Linked DNA regions of Astyanax mexicanus. The protein of the gene in region 1 purifies or fractionates together with the protein of each later gene. This does not show direct contact. Links are inferred from orthologs where the notes say so. Each region holds a gene or a part of one and is shown in the gene's direction. Other genes may lie near its edges. The genes, in order: dmd, sntb2 and sntb1.

Evidence for each region.
Region 2: the proteins of dmd (region 1) and sntb2 purify together in Homo sapiens (co-immunoprecipitation; 4 studies listed by BioGRID and IntAct, counting the BioPlex papers as one, with this or other methods). This does not show direct contact. The link is inferred for Astyanax mexicanus from reciprocal best matches to the Homo sapiens genes DMD and SNTB2.
Region 3: the proteins of dmd (region 1) and sntb1 purify together in Homo sapiens (co-immunoprecipitation; 4 studies listed by BioGRID and IntAct, counting the BioPlex papers as one, with this or other methods). This does not show direct contact. The link is inferred for Astyanax mexicanus from reciprocal best matches to the Homo sapiens genes DMD and SNTB1.

Annotation. Positions count from the first base shown.
Region 1 is NC_064428.1:3,150,008-3,158,077, forward strand, and holds the start of dmd (dystrophin), read left to right. Parts: upstream 1-4,994; 5' UTR 4,995-5,113; coding exon 5,114-5,198; intron 5,199-8,070. Other genes in the region: uncharacterized protein knl1, read left to right, coding at 103-212, 432-553, 1,772-1,897, 2,299-2,392. UniProt on the Homo sapiens protein: Anchors the extracellular matrix to the cytoskeleton via F-actin. Ligand for dystroglycan.
Region 2 is NC_064417.1:11,124,501-11,132,314, forward strand, and holds the start of sntb2 (beta-2-syntrophin), read left to right. Parts: upstream 1-4,799; 5' UTR 4,800-4,971; coding exon 4,972-5,638; intron 5,639-7,814. UniProt on the Homo sapiens protein: Adapter protein that binds to and probably organizes the subcellular localization of a variety of membrane proteins. May link various receptors to the actin cytoskeleton and the dystrophin glycoprotein complex.
Region 3 is NC_064413.1:9,207,983-9,215,890, forward strand, and holds the start of sntb1 (beta-1-syntrophin), read left to right. Parts: upstream 1-4,872; 5' UTR 4,873-4,963; coding exon 4,964-5,158; intron 5,159-7,908. UniProt on the Homo sapiens protein: Adapter protein that binds to and probably organizes the subcellular localization of a variety of membrane proteins. May link various receptors to the actin cytoskeleton and the dystrophin glycoprotein complex.

The DNA of each region.
Region 1 (8,070 bases):
TTTTTCTGCTATACTGAAAATCAATATAGTATTCCCAAAAATATTACACAGCTATTATTTAAAAAAAAAACTCTAGCATGTTTTTATTTTTATTTCCATTAGGTGACGCATCGCAGCCTCATGCCCGCATGGTTCATGTGTTGCTTGCAGAGCACATTAAAGCCCAACCTACGTGGACTCAGAAGTACCCAACCACACGACACATACCAGTGGTATGTCTAATGTTTTGGTTGAGCTGTATGGGTGGGCATTATCCCCTCTAAGAATTTAACGGAATTATCAGTTTTTTAAAGGAATTATCTTTATGTAATACCATTAATGATGCAAAAATAGGAAAATGATATATAATTAATACGATGCTTAACACATTTAACAAAGTCAATGGTAATTTTTGGAATAATCTGAATGTATATGTAATTTTTCCACAATAGTTACTCCATAATGTCAGCTTGGTGGTGAGCAGACTTCGACTTCTAGGTGAAGAAATCCACCAGTTGAAGAAATGGGGAGGATTGAGATTTGACATCCTACACTTCAATTGTTCGGATACACTGTAAGTCAAATCCTGTATTCAAACATACACTTATCATCTGTCAGACTTCTTAAAGGTGATTTCACTAGAAAGCAGTTAGTTTTTGCTTCTTTGAAATACAGTAGGTCACTGAGTTGTGTCTGCATGCTGCATGTGAAACTGTGCTTCTACCTGAATTAACCAATAAAAGAAAACGAGATTTTATGGCCCCGCCCACTGCAGTGCTGTGAAAGGATTGTCGCAGTGCCCTAAGTGACATTTGCATATCATGGATATTCATGAGTAAGAGAAAAAATCCTGTGTTTCTTCCCCACCCATTCCTCCACCCAAATCCAACACAGAATTAATGATAAAATGAGACCTTTACCATCTTAAAGAAATTAAACAGATAATAAAAGCATCATTTTGTACACTCAGTCAAGGCTTTTTTAGCAACACTTTTAGTTTGTAAATATGAAGTCAAAATAAAATTATTTTCTCAATATGATCTGCTTCAATCCAAAAAGTGGCATGTCTCGATGTCACACCTGACCAGTTGTATGTCAGTTAATATTGATTAATTGAGCCTCATAAAACTCAACAGAATTTGTCTTTAAATGTAAAGCAGAAACACTTTCCTTTCACACCTGTGGTTGGTTTCTCTGGTCAGAATCCATTAACAAGTTTGTTTACTTGGTCGGATTTAGTTTCACACAATAAAAAACGCAAGTACAGCAAAATGCATCACAACAAACCACAGTGACTCAGAGTGGTCTGGGGCAGGGATAGTAAAATAAAGAGAGAAAGGTCCTGTTTCAGACCAGCATGCGTATTTGTGTAGTGTGAAGCTTCTTTCACACTAAATGCTGAAGAGTGTGCTGCCTTCCCACTGAAAACAATATATTCCATGCTGTGAGAGGGGAGCACTGCACTCACCATGTTCAGTAATATAAGAACTTGGCATGAAGCAACACTATAGACGCCCTTTGTTCATAGCTCTATTAATATTCAGAGTAATAAATTCGGTTAAATGGCACCTGTCTAATCACATTCTCACAACAAATATTACTGGTGTGGAAACTCTTATGTGGAACCACTCTACCAACGGAGTTATGCTAGCTTCTCTTTCTTCAGTATCCTCTCGCAACTGGAATTCCTTTTGTATAACCGAATAAAAATAAACCCCTTTTAACAATATGAGGTTATTATTATTTGATACTGAAATGTGAGGTGTAATATCTTTTTTTCTCTCTTTCCTAGAGTTGAGATTGTTTTCTCCAGTATCAAGGCCTGTGCCAAATTTGAGCTAAGTCTGACTGTAACTCCAGACTATCCCTTGAATCCCCTTCAAATGCAGAAGTTTCAAAATCTCATTGGGAAAACAAGGTATGGTATTTTATTTGTTTGGTTTTAAATGAAGGGTGTTTTGCAGTTACTATTCAGTATACATTCATTGTCAAAACTAGATGCATTCAGAAGGATTCCGTCGACAGGAATGAATCTTGGGGGATGGTCTTGCCAGACTTTCATAGATTCAAAGAGTGGCTTCAGATTGTCACGCATCACTTTTCTGGGCTTAGCAAAATATGGGGATAGATAAACATCATAAAATGCGTCTTAAAACAGCATACAGCATTCTGGAAACAAGATGGAGAAGTGCATAATATCCTGACGCTTTATCTATACATCACTTGAGGAAATATGATGCACATTGAGTAAGCATCATTTCTCTTGTCCTTGTTTAAAAGCTTATTGTACTCAGTTTTTTTTTCTTTCTTTTTTCACAGAGTTGACCAGATTGAAGATGTCTTGTGCTCTGTTACGCCGGCAAAGAATTATCTGACTAACCTCATAAAGAAGATTCATGCTGATCTTCTGTAAAAGGACTTGTGTGACCTGCAATTTTTTGTTTAATGAGCAATGAAAAGTGCAAAAAAAAACAGATGAATAAAAATTTTAACCAGCATTTTTTAACACTTGCGTGTGTAATTTAACTTCTTGTGAGCGCAAATGTGAAACTTGCAAGCAAAAAAAGTGAATTGTGTGCGCAGTGAATAAAATATTGCTCTCAAGCTTCATTTTTAATCCTCTCAGGTGTTTTTTTTTTCTCTCTCTTTCTTCGTCTCGAAGTCACCGTTCTCCTGTGGCAGCAGTTTGTGAGCGAAGGGTTGTTTGGATGATAGCATAGGCAGCTAGCTAACTCTCCTGCTGTCCTTCTTTCTCCACCCTCCTCAGGCTCTGGGAGGTAGGCGGTCCTTCACAAACCCCAGGAGATATCAGCCAATAGTGTTCGCTGAGGGAGGTGATCCTGACTCCGCCCCCAAACTGTCAAAACCACCCCTTTCAAAAGTCAAGGGGCGAAAAAATCACCCGCGCACAAACTGCAGCCACAGGAGAACTGATTTCGAGATGAAAGAAAAACCCTAGAGGAGAAAAATGAAGCTTGAGAGTGATATTCTGTTCAGCGTGAACACAATTCCTTTGCGCGCGAGTTTCACATTTGTGCTCACAAGAAATTCATTTACACACGCAAATGTTAAAACACGCTGGTTATTTTTGACATTGATGTGACTTTCTTCCACTTCAGTCATATTTACACACAACTTGGTCATGTATATACTGTTCAATGATAGTTGCTGTATGTGGAAACTGTCTAATAAATGTATTTTTGCTGTCAGTTTTAGTCATGGTTCTTGAATTGGTCATGTTAATGCATATTATTGTGAGAAATGAAAGTTTAAAGCTATAAAACCAAGTCTGTAACTGGCTACAAAATATGGAAGTTGTACACATAACCAAAAAGTACATTGGGACAGTGAGTGAGGCAATTTCAAGTTCAGACCAATTGTTCCATAAGAGAAATCTCTGTAATTTGCTCAGCTAAAGTTATCCGTATGAAATAGGAAAATTATTTTATACTTTAATAGACAAATCCATTTCCGTGTAGGTATATGGACTGGGTGAATATTTAGTTGCTTAAATAGCAAAATGTTTTAATGGTTAGTTAGCCTGTAAATAACTAACTATGATCATGTACATATGGGTGTTTACATACAGTATGAAGAAATGTTTCTTCTTTGTACGAATAATTTAAATGTAGATCATCCAACTAATTTGAATATAATATAAAGACAATACAAATAAACACGATGCAGCCCTGAAATGATCATTACATTTGTTAACAGATAAACATCAATTCAAAATCCAGATCATCCATGTGAACAAGTAATTGTCCTTTTAGCTACTAAATCAACCAGTTACTGAAATTCAGTTTAAGAAATCTAATTCACCAGATCTGATAATAGAATCTGTCTGTCAGTGAAAAGCAGACCTGGTCCCAGAAAGCAGGTGATAATGTCAGGATCAGTGGAAAGTGTGTTCTATTAAAATGAGTTATTAATTTGGGTAAAGGAACAGATTCCACAGTAGCCCAAGATGCTTCTGCAACACCAGTGTCACTGTGTACAGTTAAATAAAAAAATTAAAACAAATAGACGAAGAACAAGCTTCCTAGAGGAAAAGATTGTGATGCAAAAATCAAGTTGTTCAGCCACAATAATATTGGGACACTAGGCCAACTGTTAAGCATTGTGGAGTAGTATCATACTATGGGGCTGCTTTGTTGCCAGCGGGCACTAGTTCATTACATAACCTGAACAGAGTAATGAAGATTTCTTTATAACCTCAAACCATCAGCCAGACAGTTGAATCTTTGACACAGGACAGCAGGGAGGGGACAAATAATGCAGCATTATAGTTTACCTTCTCAGAATCCTGATTTCAGTCACATCAAAATTATTTGGTCTGTTCTTAAGGTCAGATCAGCTTCAGGAATATTTGTTTCTGCCCTGAGAATAAAAGGTTTTAAACAATAATCATCACTGTAATGTGCATGAGTTTATGTGAACTGCTGCCCATTGTACATCCAGGTCCAGAAACTTCTTTTGACCTTTTAGCTAATTCACTCTAATGTGATTCTTGCTCCTGTAAGGTCCTGATTATTGAAGAACAGGGCAATTCATATTTTGCAGAGAAAAAAAGGACTACATGCTGTAATTATAGAACTATAAAGTGCTTCTATATGGTTAGATGAGCTTAAAAATGAATTTTAATTGCACTGCCTTTTTTGTCCAGATCCAATCACCACAGCCTCTGATTGGATTATATAAACTATGATCAGTGTGTATAACTGCCCTTCAAGCAAGCAAGAGGACTCTCCAACCCAATAGGAACATTCTTATTCACTATTTACGAATTAACTACAGGAATATTTGACACTCTACCTAAAATTCAAAGGAAACATTTAAAAGTTGTAATCAATACTTAGATTAATTAATCCTAAATAGACCCGGCGTATGTTTGTGATGCAGTCCACGGTGACGCAGACCGTCTGTAAGCTCTATTTTGAGATGAGAAGACTCTGCCACCTGTTCCTGCTCTTCTGGGCCTCCTGACAGTTTGCTTCCCCTGAATCATAACAGTTCAGTCCTTACAGCACTAGCATTTACTCACTACCCTGCATCCAGCCCACACTTCACCTACTACATCTCTGTGGTATCAGGCACTGACTGTTTGATTTTGATACACATCACATTTTCTGCCATGGCTGAAGCCGGGTACTCGGAGGACCAGTGGGAAGTGGAGGCTTCTGAAGATGAATTTGGAGAAATCATAAAGAGTCGATCAGGTAAGAGAACCAAACTCACTGTAGCGTGTAGCGAGGCAAATAGGATTTCAGAAAATAAACATTCTGTGGAATTAACTTTTTTTATGTATGCATGTTGACGTGTAAGTCATTGTTATTAACTTTATTTTAGTTGATGCGTCTGCTCATTATGGTTCTATAAGTCTTTGTTTTTGTAAAACCTTTGAAATGAACATATTTGTGTAATAATCATTTGGCTTGTGACCCTCCCTGAATCCAGCTTAGACACAGAGTGGGCTATATTTACTCCCCCGATGAAATATGGTCTTAAAGAACTTAAAATAGCAGCAGCTGCCTGGTGTAAGATTACTAGTGGCCTTGTTTGAGCTAGTATATTGTTGTTAGCTAGCAGCATAAAGACATTTAAACTACTAATTTAACACTTTTACCAAGATTCTCAGAGTCTATAACTGCTGAAGAACGCAGCTCTTCTGCTGCTGTGTGAGTGCATGTGAAGAAGCTCTGCAGAATGTGGGTGGTCTATTGTTAGTCACACTGTGGCATGCTTTGGCATTGAGTGTCCAGTTAATTTAGAGCATTTCTCAAGTTGTATGCGACAGTTTGGCTCTGGAGGTTTGCAACTCTACCCTGTTGCTGTCCGTATCCATCCTACGTTCCTCTTTTATTGCTCATGCTAGGGCGTGCCTGTGCTTTTTAAATCTATCTTTATACTGAATGAAGTAATGCTTCATTCAAAGTATTTATTACAGTTAAATCATTCCAGTTCAATTGCTTGTTACCACATTAAATAATCTGTTTAGATTATTAAAAAAGACAACCCAACTTTTACATTCGCTTATACTGTGTGTGTGTATATATATATATATATATATATATATATATATATATATATATATATATATATATATAATCTTTACCAAAATAATCACAGTAAATATTTCTATGTTTAATTGCCATTTATTGAATGCTGATTGTATGTACTGTTATTTATTCTGATGTGTGAATGTAATGATGATCTATGTATAGATGTATCTATCTATGTATGTAGAGTGAAAGATAAGTTTATTGGGTGAAACTGTAGAAAAGTATAGAGACTATATTACCCTGTTGGACTTCTAATTGGCGATATATCTGGACAGTCCTGGGAATTCTGTGTGTGGTCAAGAATTATCCTGCCAGTTGGAAGTCCTGCAATGAGTTGTTCACAAGTCGCTGAGCTGTTCGTGTTCCCCGCACCACTACTAGAGGTGACCAGCTGTTGTATGCAATGGATCCCCAGATCATCACAGCAGTGTGTCACTCCACAGGAAAGTCAGGATTAAAATCCTTATCCAAAACTCTATATTCAAACCTGACTGTTGTTGGATCCCAAAACAGAACCTGGATTTATTGCTAAAGACAATATAGTTCCAGTCTGAGATTTCTCTTTTACAACACTATCATGAATAAAAGTGATGAATAGCTGACAAAAACATCCTTCTTCCTTCTTTCTCTGCAATGATGTGCCCCCTTTTAAAGTCTGTCAACTGGGAAGAATTGTCTTCAAGTGTGACACTGAGTCACAATCTCTCACCAAGAAATATACATCCATATGTACAAAAGAGTCCAGTCATAATTTAGGAGGTATTTTTTCCCATTCTTCCTGTGAACATGTTTTACTGTGTGTAACCCCAGCTGGCATTTCAACATTAAATCAATGTTAATGTTATGTCAAAGTCAAGTCAAAGTGGTTTTTATTGTCATTTCAGCTATATACAGAGTGAAACGAAACAACGTTCCTCCAAGGACCATGGTGCACATAAACACAGTGTAGACAGAACAATAGTTGTCTCCTCATCTTTTCTGCCAAAGCACTAAAGCTGACTCAGGTTTCCAAGCTCAGGGCACTAAACCTACTGGAACGCGTGCAGTTAACTAGCTAGCTTTATACGCCGCTAGCTTTCTTAGCCTAAGCCAAGTCCATTATACCGGAAAGGGCCCACTGCTCCAAAAATACACACCTTCGAGTTTCTACTGTACAGACCCCTGTAAGTGTAGTCAGTGAGGACTGGAGATAAACAGATAAATAGCTAACGCTAGCTGCTGAGAATGGAGTATTTTTGGACATAAGAAATGTTTATATTATCGGTGTACTCATCACTGATCAGATAATCAGATAGTAATCTGATACAAGGCATCTGCTCCTCCACTGACTGCAGTTCATGTTAGCTTGTGTAGCATGACTGCGTTAGCCGGCATAGTCCACATCACTTTAGCTAACCTAGCTATCCTCACCAGTAATGCCTCAATTACCCCATGCCTTATTCTCCCAGCTGCACACAGAGTGATATAAATGCAAAAACACATTTTTTGTTAAATAATTAAAGTGACCATCCCAAATAAGCTAACCTAGAGATTGTGATAAATGACCTGGCTAAAGTAGCTCAGCTACCTGTTCAGGAGAAAAGTAGCAGCTCAGCAACTATATTTACTCTTTCTGAGCTGGAAGACTTCTCCATCTGTCCAACTCACTGCCAATATTTACTCTCATTTTATTCCATCTTTGCTCCCTAAGTGGATGAATGCCAAGGCTTACGGCTGTGTAGCAGATAAGATTTGGGCTAAATCAGACTGCTTGCTTGCTTGCTAGATTCCATGTCGTCTGCTTTGCCGGTGTTGTGTTCCTAAAACTGGCAACCTTGGGGTAAAATTAGTGTTGGGGAATGAAACTGGAGATTTAAAATTCATATAGTGGATAGGCAATTAGGTAGTGTTTAAACTCACAGCACATGACGTCTATTCGTTATGTTGTCCTTTAGACAGAAATTGTATGTTCAGAGTGGATGCCCAAAGTTAGGTGGTGTGAAGAGGTGGTTTTAATATATGTAGCTGTCCATGCATCGACATATTAACC
Region 2 (7,814 bases), on another chromosome or scaffold:
AGGAGGATTCAATTATAGCGTTGCTGTTGCCTTGTTTTTGATTGAATGTAACTAGTTAAATCCCATATGGAAAAAAAATAATATGGTGTGTGTATATATATATATATATATATATATATATATATATATATATAATATAATATATATATATTTATAATTGTTTTACCTCTTAGTTTAAAAAAACATATCAAATACTCCAGCTGCATCTTTGCTGTGTTTTTGTCTCTTTAATTTATGCTGCAGATATCTATTTTTTGACATTTCCCATGTAAGTATCATATTTTAAAATATGTTTTCTTTATAGGCAATACATTTTGCAATACATGCAGTGGGTTTGAAATGTGTTTAAAATGTATGAGTACATGTCCGTATATTTTGTTTCCATATGGGATAAGAATTAGAGCGAAGTCTCCACCCCACCCCCCGAGCAAGAGGACCTAATAGCTGCTCTGAAACACATTTAAATCTCTTAAAGTGCAGTTTTAGCACTAGAATGTCCCTCCTAATAGAATAAATGGAAATACTGTCAATATATTTCATATTCTGAGTAAACAGTACTGTATTATTGTGCTGTACTGTATAGGCTGAGTGAATGTATCAGGGAGAGATATGGTGCCAGTTCAATTGGCAGAGAGAGCTTCTGAACATCCTGCATCACCATCAACACCTCCCTACACCCCCTTCCCACAAGCCCAGACCCCCCGACTGCAAATCCCTTCACTCACAGTGTTTTAAATGCTGTAGATCTGCAATAAATAAAAATTGAAAACACATTCATTTGAAGAAATTCTGTTTTCAGCATCTCTGTCCAGTGTAGAGATATAAAGAACATATATCCCACATTCTCCACCCTCAGCTCCACTATCAGCCTCACAGCCTGTGTGAGTTATAAGTAAATACTCATTCATTTCTACTTCAACCTCTGTATATCTCTTACACTTAAACACACTGTACCTGTAATACTGATTTATGTAAACAAGTTTTTTTTTATTGGCTGGGCTGTTGTGGGTCTCATTCATAAACAGTATATATATATATATATATATAACTTGCTGAAGGGTGGTGCTAAAAAAGGTGTAGTCTCTATGGAGGTACTACAGACCTCAGAGACAACAGATAATTTGACTTTAAAAATCTTTAGATGACATGAGCCACAAAATGTTCCTGTACGATGGTTAAGTATGGTTAAGAGTCTGCACTGTGTTTTAGATGGTGAATTTTATCTGACAACAGAAATAAACAGTAGTTTAATTAATCACAATAGAAGTTTAAAAATCTGATTAACCGCAACAGTATTCTGACATTAATCACACTTTTTCATCCCTAAAAAAATTATGTATTATGATATCAGTCGGCTCTGTTAGGATGCATTGAATTAAGTTTGCTTGCTTTGGTTTAAATAAACGTAACAGGTGCGCTGGAGAGAAATACTCTCTCCTTATCCATCCTGATTGACTCTTTTCTAGTTTTGCGTTTTGCTAGTGTTTGCTAGAATCTGGAGACATTTCTGTGAACAAATCGACAAGAAACCACCGCATGGTCTCAGGAACTCAGGAAATCACTGTCTGTGAACACAGTTAACTGTCTGTGAACACAAATGTTAACATGATCCAGAAACAATGCCATCTTCTTTCAGCCAATGTATGGGGTTGCAAAATTGAAAATTCTCTATCAAAAACTCTACACGCAGCTGTTCAAAGAAGAGGTGATGCTACACAACAGTAGACATAGCTCTGTCCCAACCTTTTAAGAGGTGTTGCTGCCATCAAATTCTATTCTAAAGGAGCTAACTTTTTTATGAAATGGTAAAGCTTACTTTACATCTGATATTTATTTTATTGTATTATAAATAAAATATGGGTGTTATGAGATTGGAATTGCATTCTTTTTTATTTACATTTTACACAGTTTCCCAACTTTGTTTGGAATTTAAGTTTTATTAGAATTAATTTAAATAATAAACAAAATGTAACCCATTGTAAATAGGTTATGCAAATACTACAGGATACAGTTGGAGGAAAAGTATGTCAACCCTTTGGGATTACTTGGATTTCTGCACAAATGGGTCATTAAATGTGTTCTGATCTTCATCTAAGTCACAAGAATAGACAAACCCAGTCTGCTTGAACTAATACCACACAAAAATATATGTTTGCATGGTTTTATTGAACACAACATGTTAATATTCACAGTGAGGGAGGGAAAGTATGTGAACCTTTGGATTTAATAACTGGTTGACCCTCCTTTGGCAGCAAAAACCTTAACCAAATGATTCCTGTAGTTGCAGATCAGACCTGCAGAACAGTCAGGAAGAATCTCAATTGGGTTGAGATCAGGACTCTCCAGAAGGCGTTTTTTCTTCTGTTGAAGACATTCGGTTCTTGATTTATTTCTATGTTTTAGGTCGTTTGTCCTGTTATCCATCTTCTGTTGAGCTTCAGTTGGTGGACAGATGGTCTTAAGTTTTCCTGCAAAATGTCTTGGTAAACTTTGTAATTCATTTTTCCGTTGTTGACAGCAATCCTTCCAGACCCTGAGGCAGCAAAGCAGCCCCAAACCATGATGCCCCCTCCACCATATTTCACAGTTAGGATGAGGTTTTGATGAGGGTGTGCTGTGCCTTTTTTCCACACACAAACGTTGTGTGTTACTTCCAAACAACTTAATTTTGGTTCCATCTGGCCACAGTATATTTTGCCAGTACTGCTGTGGAACATCCAGGTGCTCTTTTGCAAACTTCAAACTTGCAGCAATGTTTTTTTGGACAGTAGTGACTTCCTCTGTGGTGTTCTCTGATGAACTCCATTCTTGTTTAATGTTTTTCCTTTTTGTAGATTTGTCAACAAAAATGTTAGCATGTGACAGTAATTTCTGTAAGTTTTTAGCTGACACTCTAGGATTCCTCCTCACCTCATTGATCATTCTGCACTGTACTCTTGCGGTCATCTTTACAGGACGACCACACCTAGGGAGCATAGCAACAGTGCTGAACTTTCTCCATTTGTAGACCGCCTGTCTTACTGTGAACACATGAACATCAAGGCTTTTAGAGATACTTTTGTAACCCTTTCCAGCTTCATACAAGTCAACAGTTCCTGAATGTACAGTAGGTCCTCTGAGAGATCTTTTGTGCGAGGCATGATTCAAAAGCAGTGCTTCTTAGGAACAACAAACTCAAAACTGGTGTGTGTTTTTATAGGGTAGGACAGCTTTAACCAACACATCCAATCTCATCACATCCTGGTTCCAATTAGCTCTTAGAAAAGTCATTAGCCTAGAGTTTTATATACTTTTTCCACCCTGCACTGTGAATGTTAACATGTTGTGTTCAATAAAACCATGGAAACATATATATTTTGTGTGGTTTTAGTTTAGGCAAAAATCAAAGAAATCCCAAAGGGTCTCACATTTCCACTGCTGACAGGAAGAGACTGAACAAGATCATCGCAAGGTCCAGCTCTGTCCTGGGGTGGTGTGAGATGGGAGCATGAGAACGGCGTTTAAACACATGCTGTAGAACCTATGCACCACTCACCACAGCATTGGGCAGTTTCTTCAGTGCCTGGCTGCTGCTATACCCACGGTATGTGAAGTAGAGATACCACAGGTCCGTCCCTCCTTGCTGCTGCAAGAATGTCCAACTGTAGTTTACTATTTCTTACAGTGTGAATTGAAACAGTTAACTTATTACTGATCTTATGGTTTAGAATGTGCAACATTTTAATTCACCATGTGTATAATTCGCCATATGTACAAACATCAGTTATTGATGTTTAATAAGGCTGTATTTAGGTTGCCATAGTAACTGTAGGAGGGTAGGGGTGGCTTGGCCTGGCTGGACTCCTGACTGGACTTTAAGGACAGGAGGGGTGAAATATGGAGGGAGAGTTGGAGGAGGAGGAGCAGGCTGTGTTTATAACTGTTATAATAACAGGGCTGTTATAAGAGTAGCACTCTGTTGGAATATCCCCCCCCCCCGCCCCCCTCCCTGCAGCAGCTTCCCTGCAGCAGCTTACTCAGGCATGATTGCCTTGTGGACTACAATCCTGAGAACTGACACCCTATTGGCTGTTCCAGCCTTATAATCCAGCCAAACCCCAGTTGGATGACTCAGAAAACTGATTGTTATAATGCTCTTATAGCACAATTAATGCAAAAACCACCCCCCCCCACCACCACCACCCACAAAAAACCCCCACAAACCTCAAATTACACTTTTTATTAATTAAGCTCCATCCTCACAGAGGAAAAAACATCTCTACACAAACCAGAACGGCCCTTTTTTAAATATGTAAACCTATGGCTAACCTGTTAAACATAATTTATATTGGATGATCACCCTTAACAGGTGGTTTATGCAAATGATTCCACTTCTAAGAAACATTTTCTTGCTGACTGTGCAGAACCCCAGTGCAGGACCTTAGCATGAGCACGTGTTTCAACAAAAATGTAATTATTACAGTGTGCTCTGACTGAGCGCTCTACAACAGAAGAGCATGCTATTTTTATCATTTAAAACAAGGGGCCCTCACACAAAAACATAAAGCTGAACTCAAAGCAAAAGCCCTGGAACTGAAGTGCATGTTTACTACGTGATGTAGAACACAATGTACAACAGGCGTGCATTTCTAGAACACAAGTCACGTTTAAGAAGCTGGATGAAGTGTTGTAGAAGATAAGTGCGCACTTGTTGAGGAGGAGAGAGGCCATTCTCTCCAGATACTTCTGATTTACAAACTCTTAGCCAATAGCACGAGGGGCGGGGCTAGTCTGAAAACGGGTAGGGAAAACACGCAAACTTGTAAACTGTGTGTGTGTGAGTTTGTGTGTGTGTGTGTGAGAGAGAGAGTGTGTGTGGGCGTGTACATGTGTGTGTGTGTGTGTGTAGAGTTGTACTCGGGAGCGGAAACTGAAAGTTCGGACGGTATGAGGGGTTCGGTATGAGGAGTTTGGACTGAGCGCGCGCGGGTGATGGCGATCTGGACTCGTGCGGATAAGAACGGTCAGCTGGACCTGCTGCTGCGCGAGCGCTGGGTCCGGGTCACGGCCGACCTGAACCGGGACACTCTGACCCTGACTGCGGAGGGGGAAGCGAGCGGTGTGGAGCTCAGAAACGGACTGTCTAACGGGGGTGATCCCATCAGCGAACAGAACCGACTCCGGAACCAGAACCCGGAGCTTCAGCCGAACCACGGGCACTTAAAGCCCAGTGGTGGCAGCGTGTACGGCTACAGCAGCCCCCGCAGACCGAGCCGCGACAACGGCACTAGCTCGGACTACGGCAGTCCCGGGTCAGGCTACGGAAGCCCAGGCTCCAGTTTCAGCTCCAGACATGGGGAGGGGGCAGGAGGCGGCAACAGCAGCGCAAACTTCGACACGAGCCCAGCGGAGACCGTGAGGAAGGTCCGGGTGGTGAAGCAAGAGTCCGGCGGACTGGGTATCAGCATTAAGGGTGGCCGGGAGAACCGCATGCCCATCCTCATCTCCAAAATCTTCCCCGGTCTGGCCGCGGACCAGAGCCGCGCGCTGCGCGTGGGAGACGCGATCCTGTCCGTTAACGGCAGCGACCTCCGCGAAGCCACGCACGACCAGGCGGTGCAGGCGCTGAAAAAGGCGGGGAAGGAGGTGACGCTGGAGGGTGAGTGCTCAACGCAAAGCCGGGGATTTACACGGCCTGCGGGCTGCGCTGCGATAACACCGCTCCCGCCTCAAATATAAACACACACAGCCGGGCACGCGGGTTCTGCTGTACTGGTTCTGCAGTATTGACTTAGCACACTATTGTTCTAAAACTAGAACGCATAGCTAGCACATTCTTGGTTTTGAACTAGAACTCTTGCGCATGCACACTCATGTTCTAAAACTAAACACTCAGCCAGCCTGGGTTTACTGTGTTCTGGAATGTGATCGAGCAAAGTTATATTCTAGAGCTAGGGCACTTTGACCATGCACGCTTGCGCTCTAACACCAGAATGGTGGCAGTAACCAGGCTGTATCTATATTCTAGAACTTTTTCAATCTCAAGTTGTACATCTAGAACTTTTAGATCCCAGGTGTCACACACAAGGCCTGTCAGCTATAGGATGAAAATGCAGGCAAAAAGGAAACAATAATACGCATCTGATTAATAGGGATTTAGCCACAGGTTAGCAGTATTACATATATTTGAGCCTTGTTATTAATTGCTTTAGTCAAGCTTTTTATGCTAGTGTAAATATTGTTAAAATATATTGGTCAAAATATCATGTTATATCACAGTATATCATAATATCATAGTATTTAGCACAATACTTTTAATGCAGATAATATATCAGTGAAGATGATTCTGAAATACTCCTCCATACAGTACAGTGATTTATATTTAACATTCTTCATTATATCCTGTTAAACTGCACTAATAACACTCTCTATACACAAGTGCACAGTTGGTCAGTGTTCATTAAGCACTGATGATATCCACAATATGTTTATAAAAGTATACTGTATCACATTAACACGTTTTCTCAATGAAATAAAATATTGTCATATTGCCCAGTCCTACTTTTTCATCTCTGCTTTGTCTCACAAATCAGTCAAGAGTTTATCTCTTTCCACTGTCTGAAACAATGCCATTATTGATATCTGACCTAACCAGTGAAATAAATGAACTGGTCCCTAGCAACCAGGAAAGTGTGAGTTGCGTTTAGGTGTATATGCTGGTATGTGGAAATATCTGTTGTAAGTTATGACCAACAACCTAAACGTAATGAAACAGGAACACCCATGAATTAATGGCTATGAACCCAACTAGATATTTTTAGACAAACATGAACATCCATTATGTAATAATGTTTGTTCAGTCAGGGTACTCTGGCCTTTATGCAGCTGTTCTGGGACTAACTGGTCACAGTCCAGTTCTGATACTGTACGATAGAAATACACAATAATACACATACCTCCACGTTTCTGTGGACACCCCTTATATTACAGCATCCATTCCTTTTAGGATGAGTTAAAGAGGTGAGGTGGGGTGGTGATCTTTCATCATCATGACCTTGCTAACACTCAATGAAAACAATGAAATCCTCACAGCAATTCTCCAAATTCTATTAGAAAGTCTTCCCTGGCCAGTAGTGACAATTACTCAAACAGAGTCAAGATCAGCTTTTTTTAATACCTTTAAATCAGAAGAAAGAGCAGGTGTCCTAATACAGTCAACCACATAGTATAGGTGCTGTCTGTATACCAGTAAAATAAAACAGAAAAAAGAGCAGTAAAATTAGTCAGGTCTGCAGGACAGTAAAGTCCCTCTGCTGCTGGAGTCGGGAGTAGTGTTACAAAACAGCCCATTCAAAATAAAGGTCCGATTGTGTTTCCAGTTTGATCAGCGTAGCAGGAGAGCAAGGCTGATATCACCATCACACGCTCTCAGATCTGTTCTTGTCCACAGGTCAGTCAGGCCTAAAACTGCTGATCAGACCACAAACTAAAGAATTACACTAATTTAACTTAGCTGAACGCTGAGCTGCAGATGGTGTCCACTGTGGATGCTTCACCAAAGATGAGATCTTTTGTTTTGTCCAATTAAAAAATGGGCAATAAAACAAGGGGCTCTATTTATGCTCCGTTCTACTTTCACTGCCTTCTTCTGAAGCTAGAACCGAGTGACCTCCAGCAGGGCCAAACACAGAGTGGCTGACACAACAGAACTGTGCATCCCAAAACCCAAACTGGAAGTGAAACTGATGTCACATGACCTGCATGGCCTCTTTCAGTTTAGTGTTAGTTGGAGGCAGTTTTCTACTCCAGCTGTTTGTGTGCTTTATAAAGCTGAA
Region 3 (7,908 bases), on another chromosome or scaffold:
AAAAAGAAGAAGAATGAGACGAAAAAGAAGACTGATTCGGGCCCGTCGTTTTCTGAAGCTACGCAAGCATGACCAAGACTAGACAGGGGTTGAGACTGTAGACAGCAAACTAATGTGATTAAATGTGATTTTTTTTTTCATGAATAGTTTATGACCTGAGGAGGATGGGTCCCCCCTGTGAGTCTGGTTCCTCCCAAGGTTTCTTCCTCCAGATTTGAGGGAGTTTTTCCTTGCCACTGTCGCCTTTGGCTTGCTCACAGGGGGTTTTATAAATAAAGTATTAAGAAGACCAGTCTGGGCACAGTCTTGATAGCTGGAGAAAGCCTGACAGCTAATATAAGAAGAACAAAAAGAAGAACACGAAAAAGAGGACTAAGAAGAAGAACAAGAAGAACAAGAAGAATATCAAGAAGAAGAAATAGACAAAGAGGACTAAGAAGAAGAACAAGAAGAAAAAGAAGAAGAAGAAGACTAATTTGGGCCCGTAATTTTCTGAAGCTACGCAAGCATGACCAAGACTGAACAGGGGTTCAGACTGTAGACAGCAAACTAATGTGATTAAATGTGTTTTTTTTCATCAACAGTTTACGACCTGAGGAGGATGGGTCCCCCCTGTGAGTCTGGTTCCTCCCAAGGTTTCTTCCTCCAGCTTTGAGGGAGATTTTCCTTGCCACTGCCGCCTTTGGCTTGCTCACAGGGGGTTTTATAAATAAAGTATTAAGGAGACCAGCCTGGGCACAGTCTTGATAGCTGGGGAAAGCCTGATAGCTAATATAAGCAATTGATTCTACTGCCCTGAGAGAAGTTTGATAGCGACCACTGGTCATCAGAACTCCAGAACTTCTCTAAAATCTTTTTGACCTCTCTGTTTATTTAAAAATTAATAATAAAAGTGTTTATCAAACAGTATGTAAGTGAATGAGAGTCGTTTTTGTTCCTCATCTTATCAGTAGAATAATGCTGTACATCAATACAAATACTAGACTTTTACTTTTTCAGCATAAACAATGGCGTGCTAATTTTAGAATATGGAAAACACATCTTGGTGTAGTAGTAACTTATTAAACTTTTTTTTAACTCAATATAAACTCAATATAAAAATATCAGTATTGCAAAAAAGTGTTTTTGTGTGCATTATTACAACTAATACAGCAATTAACCCTAAAAAGCCCACATCATTTCTAAAAACAACACATCCCAACAGTTAAGCATTGGAGGGAAGATCATTGATGCTTCAGGCTCCTGGGCTCATGTTTATAAAGCAAAATTAATGGACAGACCTCAAAAACTCATCACTTGCAAGATGGGCCATGAATCAACAAGCTGTTTGCAAAGGACCCCAACCACCCACCACAAACATGAATTGACTAAATAAATGAGTGCTGATCACAGTTTTTTGCTTTTTATATACATCAGACAATTCAAATTTATTCATTTTTTCTGGAAAATAAAATATGTATATCCCTATAACGCCAAACGTATCATATTTGATACATGATTTTTTTGAGCCCTCCAATGAGCAGTGTTACAATTGTTTCCCTAAAAAACTCAATCGATACTATGAGGTACATGCAGTGCACTGATAATTCAGGGGGCATCAGTCATGATAAATAAACAGGACTGAGCTCTTCCAATCACCTTTTCCTTTTGGCAACCACTTATTTAATATATTTTAGTGCCTTCATGAATTAATAAATATATTTCTAAATAAAGTAAAGTTGTTCATGTAAAAAAAGAATAGTTGATTGTTGGTTATTTGTTGGAGTATAGGGGGTATCGCCTTCCCTTGTAACGATGGGAGCAGACGGGAGGCGGACGTAAATGCGGGTAAGACAGACTTTAATAAATAACAAACAAACAAACAAGGTGAAAACGAGAACATATATAAACATAAACAAACAGGAAAAACAAACAAAGAGCTAAGCTGAACAGATAATAAACTAAACAGAGCTAGGGATATAAACAAGGGATAAATACGTAAATATATACAGGTATAAACAAGGAAACAGACAGGAAGTAAACGTGACAGGAAATAAACGTCACAAACAACAAACTAGAAATAAACAAGAGAGTGTAAATACAAATAACCAAGGAACGAGGAATAAGCAAAAACGTGGCGAGACAGACAACATGGGAAGGTGCAAAGACCAACAGCAAACATAGACTAAAAGGGACTATTTATACTAACATGAAACAATGAACACCTGGGGGAAAGGGCGGAGCTACAAATTACAGACACGTGACGGAAAATTACAGGGGAAACACACTGGGAAACGCAGGAACACAGGGAAACAGAGCGAGGGCGTGACTTCCCTGGCATTTTGCTGATATATACAAGACACTGCGGATTGAGGAACAATAAATACCTCCATACCTTTAGAAATAGTAGTTGTTCCATCCATCTGGCACCTACTATCAGAGCTCATTCAAACTTATAATATGATAATTCACATCACCTTGCTCTGAGCACACTGGCCATCTCACACACAAGGTACTACCTCACCCTATACAAGTGTGTGCATTACCAAGACATAATGAAAAATTAATATAATATTATTCCATGATATAATCCATCTTTTTTGCATTTGATAAAGTGCTTGATATTTTTATAAAGGCTCCAGTTTAAAAGAATTGAAATTGTATGTCAATTATTTAATGGTTTGGGCTTTACAGGGATATATATGCTATTTACAAACTCATACAGACAAACGTAATCTAAAGCAATCAATGTCTTCCATTTGAGGTGTCATGTGAAACAGTTCATATTATAATAAATGACCATACAATGTGATCTCACTTAATAGGAGATAGAATTATGGCGAGAGAGAGCGGGGTGTTTGCAAGGGGGGAACATGCAACTAGTCAAATGGCTTGTTGTCTTCACATGAAACGTGAAATCACACCCTTTAACTCAATTTAATCGGTGTAAAAAATAGCATTCATCAGACAAATTGCTTGCCCTAAATAAAAAAAATGCTCAAATGCAGCTAAAATGTCTGTAGCATTCAGTTATAGATTGTTTTGTGGGTTCAGAAACATTCCAAACACTGCTCTCTATCTGCACACCTGTATAAACTACCTCTGCAGAAGTGTTCACATACCCTTCTCATTTAAACGAATAAAATACAAACAAGAAATACATATTTAATACAAATAAAGTTTAATGCAAGTTGAATCAGCCAACCTAAAATTGATATGTACAAAAATATCTATTCTGACTCTGGAGATCAGTCGAGTAAAATGAGTGAGCACCTCCACCAGTGGACATATTACAATATTACAACTGTATACAAATTATGAATATGAATGTAAAATTAAAAGAAATGAAAAAAAAATAATAATAATACATTTACTTACTGCTCTGCACCATATAGAGAGTGACAGTTTAGAGCAGTCCTGCAGTAGCTCTCTAAAGCTTACCTGTAGATATAAAGAAAACAAGTCAATTCTAAAGGTTATTTTTGGCTAGTTCTTAAGCTATATATTTTTTTTCTAATTATTTACACATGCTTCCTCTGATACACGTGAAGTCAGCCACCACTTCTAAGGTTGACTTACTTTAAAGTTTTTTTATTTTACAGTTGTAGACACACAGTCAGCCTCCAGGTGTCGCCAAAGCCTAAAATATACATCTAAAAGGTCTGTAGCCTGCAGTTATAGATTGTTTTGGGGGTTCAGAAACATGACAAACACTGCTCTCTATCTGCACACCTGTAAAACGACTTCTGCAGAAGTGTTCACATACCCTTCTCATTCAGATGGCAGCCAGATAGATAAAATGTAGGTGACCAGTAGCTTAAAATCACATAATTAGATAAATACAATCAAATAATGCAGACGAAGAATATAGATAGATATACAAAAGGTATAAAATCTTTGGTAGAACAGAGCAAAAGTGCAAGTTGTATACAGCATAAAGTGTCTAGGTGCCTATATACATGAATCTATAAATGGAAGTGAGGGATATTTCTGATCTGGTAGTGGAAGGTAGTTTGTTTCTCCATTGGGGAATTCTGTATGAGAACAGTCTGGATTGCTTTGTGTGAATGTTTGGTAAAGTGAGACGACGTTCATTGGAGGAGCGCAGCGGCCGGGAGGTAGCGTAAGCCTTTAGTAGTGACTGCAGGTAGTAAGGAGCTGTTCTGTCATCACCTTCACCTTCCTGGTTTTCGTACAAATGTATCCCATAGGAACGAATGGTAATATGTTCATTATGTTCACATTCGTGTGTGTTTTTCAGCTATATTGTCCAAATGCTTGATGACACCATCAAGCAATACCTAAACAGTGACCTCGCAACAACATAGCAAAACCATAGCATCCACCATGGAAAGTTCTGCATGATTAAAACATCTTTTTTATAATCAAAGTGTGATTATCACCCATACCTTTATATCAAATAAAATAAAAAATAATATTAAAATACGTATGACTAAGTCACACGCCATTTTTTTAAATAGTGGGAAAATCTCTTCATCAGGTCAAGCTCAGGCAGACTACAATTTTTTTTATTATTATTATTTTTTATTATTGTTTTTTTTTTTGCAAACAAACAAAAACAAATGTGGGATTTAAATAAAATGTAAAAGATTACAGATATCAATTGGGTTTATGACATTTTTCTTATTATTTTTATATTCTTTATTTTTTTATTTTTTATATATTTGAAAATCGTATAATTGCATAGGTCCGAATAAACAAATGTTCGGAATGAGGGTATTTACCTACAATCTAGCTTGTATCCAATAAGAGTGGGAGAATGACGAGAGGCGTGGCTCTGGGTGTGGAGAGAAAAACTTTTGTCCAATCAGAGTGTAGGAAGGCGGGGCCGGTGTGAGGGCGGGAGGGGAGTCAGCGCGCGCTGGAGGCTGGAGGTGAGTCAGAGCTCGGGGGAAAGTTTGAGAGAGGGTGAGCGCGAGCTGAGCGCGGCTGGATTATTCGCGCGCGCGGAGATGACTGCGGGATGGCGGTAGCGGCCGCGGGTCCCGCGCAGCGCGCGCACAGGAGCGGGTTCGTGGAGGTGCTCGTGCGCGAGCAGTGGCACCGCGTGTTCGCGAGTTTGGGCGACGAGGCGCTGACCCTGAGCTGTGAGGAGAACGGGCACGCGCACGAGCATGTAAACGGCGAGGCGGATGCGGGGGCGCGCGGCGCGTTCACGGTAAGGTCGGTGTGCGTGTGCGTGCGTGTGCGTGTGTGTGTGTATGAACGGGAACGCGTATTCCTGACGTTAACTACTCTGTTGAGTATTGTAAGTATGTGCACGCACGGAGGGCTGAGCAGGAGTATTAGTACTGCCGAGTAAAGTGGAGTAAAGTTTTTTATTCCGTGAACATTTAATTAAACTCAGACAGGTAAACTCTGGGTGGATTGGTGGATTAAAGGGCGCAGGTAAAAAAAAAAAAAAATACATGTTTTGGTCCAGAGCCTCCCCATGCTGACTGAAGTGGGGTGCCCAAACTTTTGACCAAGATATGGTTTATTCCAAAGCTTTTTCATGCACAAACTGTACTGAAAAGGTGTGGAAACTATTAATGTTACCGTTCATTACTCTGTAGGTAGAAGTATAGATACTAGAGTTTTAATAACTTCTGTAGGAGTAAAGTATCAACTTAAGCTTTTTACCCAAGTAAGAGTACTGTTTTCAAAACTACTTAAAGTATAAAAGTAAAAGTAATGTAGGGTGAAGAAATACCATTAAGGAAAAAGCCACAGGGTCCTATAGTGCACATTTTCTAGGGGTGTGAGGAGACACTAATATCACGAGACGAGACGGGACACGATATTGGGTTCACGAGAACAAGACGAGATTTAAAAATGAAATTTTAAAGAAAATGTCAAAAATGAAAAATGGCTTGAAAACGTTTATTTGACAAAATTATATAACGCAAACTTAACAGACTCTCACACACTGATTCTATAAGAAATATAAATAAGAATAAAAAATAAAAAGAAAACTTTTCTAGGTCTTATATAGTGCAAACAATAAGTGCAAACCACAACCAGTCATATTAAGCCTATGGTTTGTGTTTTTTCTCCTAAATCTCTTGTAATTTAACTATGCATAACCACAACCAGCCATATTAAGACTATGCTTGAAGTGCAAACAGATATACAGTACAGAGCTAAGGGATTAGTACAGCTGCCTATGAAACAGTCACGTGTAGGATTTACTTACAGTATTTATATATGGTTTGTGTCTTGTTTATTGTTTCCACTGGAGCCGAAATGCAGCCAGATATACAACTTAAAAGTAGCAGCAGCATCTTCTATACAAACGCCCAAATTTTCCTCTTCTGCTAAGAGCTGCTCTCGCTGCTCAGCCATCATACTCTATTGCTATCGCTACTGAGTTGCCAGATCCCTCTTAAAAAGTCCACACTTAACTGTTTTTTTGCCCCGCGAGACAGTTTTAAGCCTGACGAGAAATCTCGTCCGTTTTAATCTTGCGAGATCTCATGCCACCCCTAACATTTTCTAAAGGCCATAATGACTATAATGTTATATTAAAATATTAAAGTTGATAGATTTGGGTAGTAGATTTGCAGTAGACTCCCTGTTTTAGTTGCATATATGCTCATTGAAAATGAATGTATTTGATACAATGCAAATATATTAAAGAAGCCTGGTTAGATGTTTGGCTTGTGTTCTGTTGAGTCTCTGCACGGATCATCTTTACACTAGACTACATGTGTCTGCTGTGTTCTTGCTGGAGTGTGACGTGATAGATTGCGAATAAACCAATAAGTTGTTGGAATGGTATGTTTTTATGCTTTTTTCATTCAACCATATTCAAATTCACTTTATCCAGATGGGACTTTTATCCCATTTTCTCCCCAATTTACAAGGCCAATTACTCAACCCACTCAGTAGGATTCCCCCTATTACTAGAGATGCTCCAACACACCAGGAGGGTGAAGACTAGCACATACCCCCTCCGATACATGTGAGGTCAGCTACCGCCTCTTTTCAAACTCCTGCTGATGTAGCATTGTCGAGTAGCATCACAGCGAGCTCGGAGATAAGTGCAGCGACATGGTTGCTATACATTACAGCTCTCAGACGCCTTGTGCTGACCTTTTGGAGTTATGTGGGGGGAGAGCCCCCTAGAGAGCAAGGCCAATTGTGCTCTCTCAGGGCTCCAGCAGCTGATGGCAAGCTACATAAACGGGATACGAACCAGCAAATCCCGATCATAGTGGCAGCTCCTTTGTCTGCTGCACCACTCAGAGCCCCTGGATGGAGAGATTGATCTGGATAGGTTTTTTTTTTTTTTACAGTGAGAAAGCGGGATGAAAACAAGCTGAAATGAAATAGGAGTATCATGTCTATTTTAAAACATGAAAAATAATAATTACTCCAGTAAAGTATAGATAACCCAAATTTCTTTTTAAGTAAGGTAACAAATATTTGTACTTTATAATTTGAAACCTCTGTCTGTTCTAGAGTGTTTGCTGACATGAGGTACCCAAACTTTTGCCACGAAGCTGGTTGGTCCAATATTTCCGCCATGTAAAATGGAAAATACTGGAGAGCTCGCTGACTTGTGCCTTGAATGCTGATTTATTTGAAACTCCTCCATATACATGCTGTACACAAGAGCAGTGAACAGAAAGAGTGCTGCACGTGTTCTGCAAATCTATCAGACGATTTTATAAAAAACAACATCCAAGATTTAAAACTGTGTGATGAATTTTATGATTCCGCCAAATTAGATTTTTGTACCTTAATATATTTGGCAGCTACAGATGTTTAAAATTTGGGTCCAAAATTTCTGAACGCACTTAGTGGACTGCTCTGTGTTGCCAACACCTAAACTATGTGTACTGGCGAAACACTAATTTAAGTTAACACACTTTTTACATCAATATAATATTTTTTTGACATGGAAAATACTGCTTACATATGCTG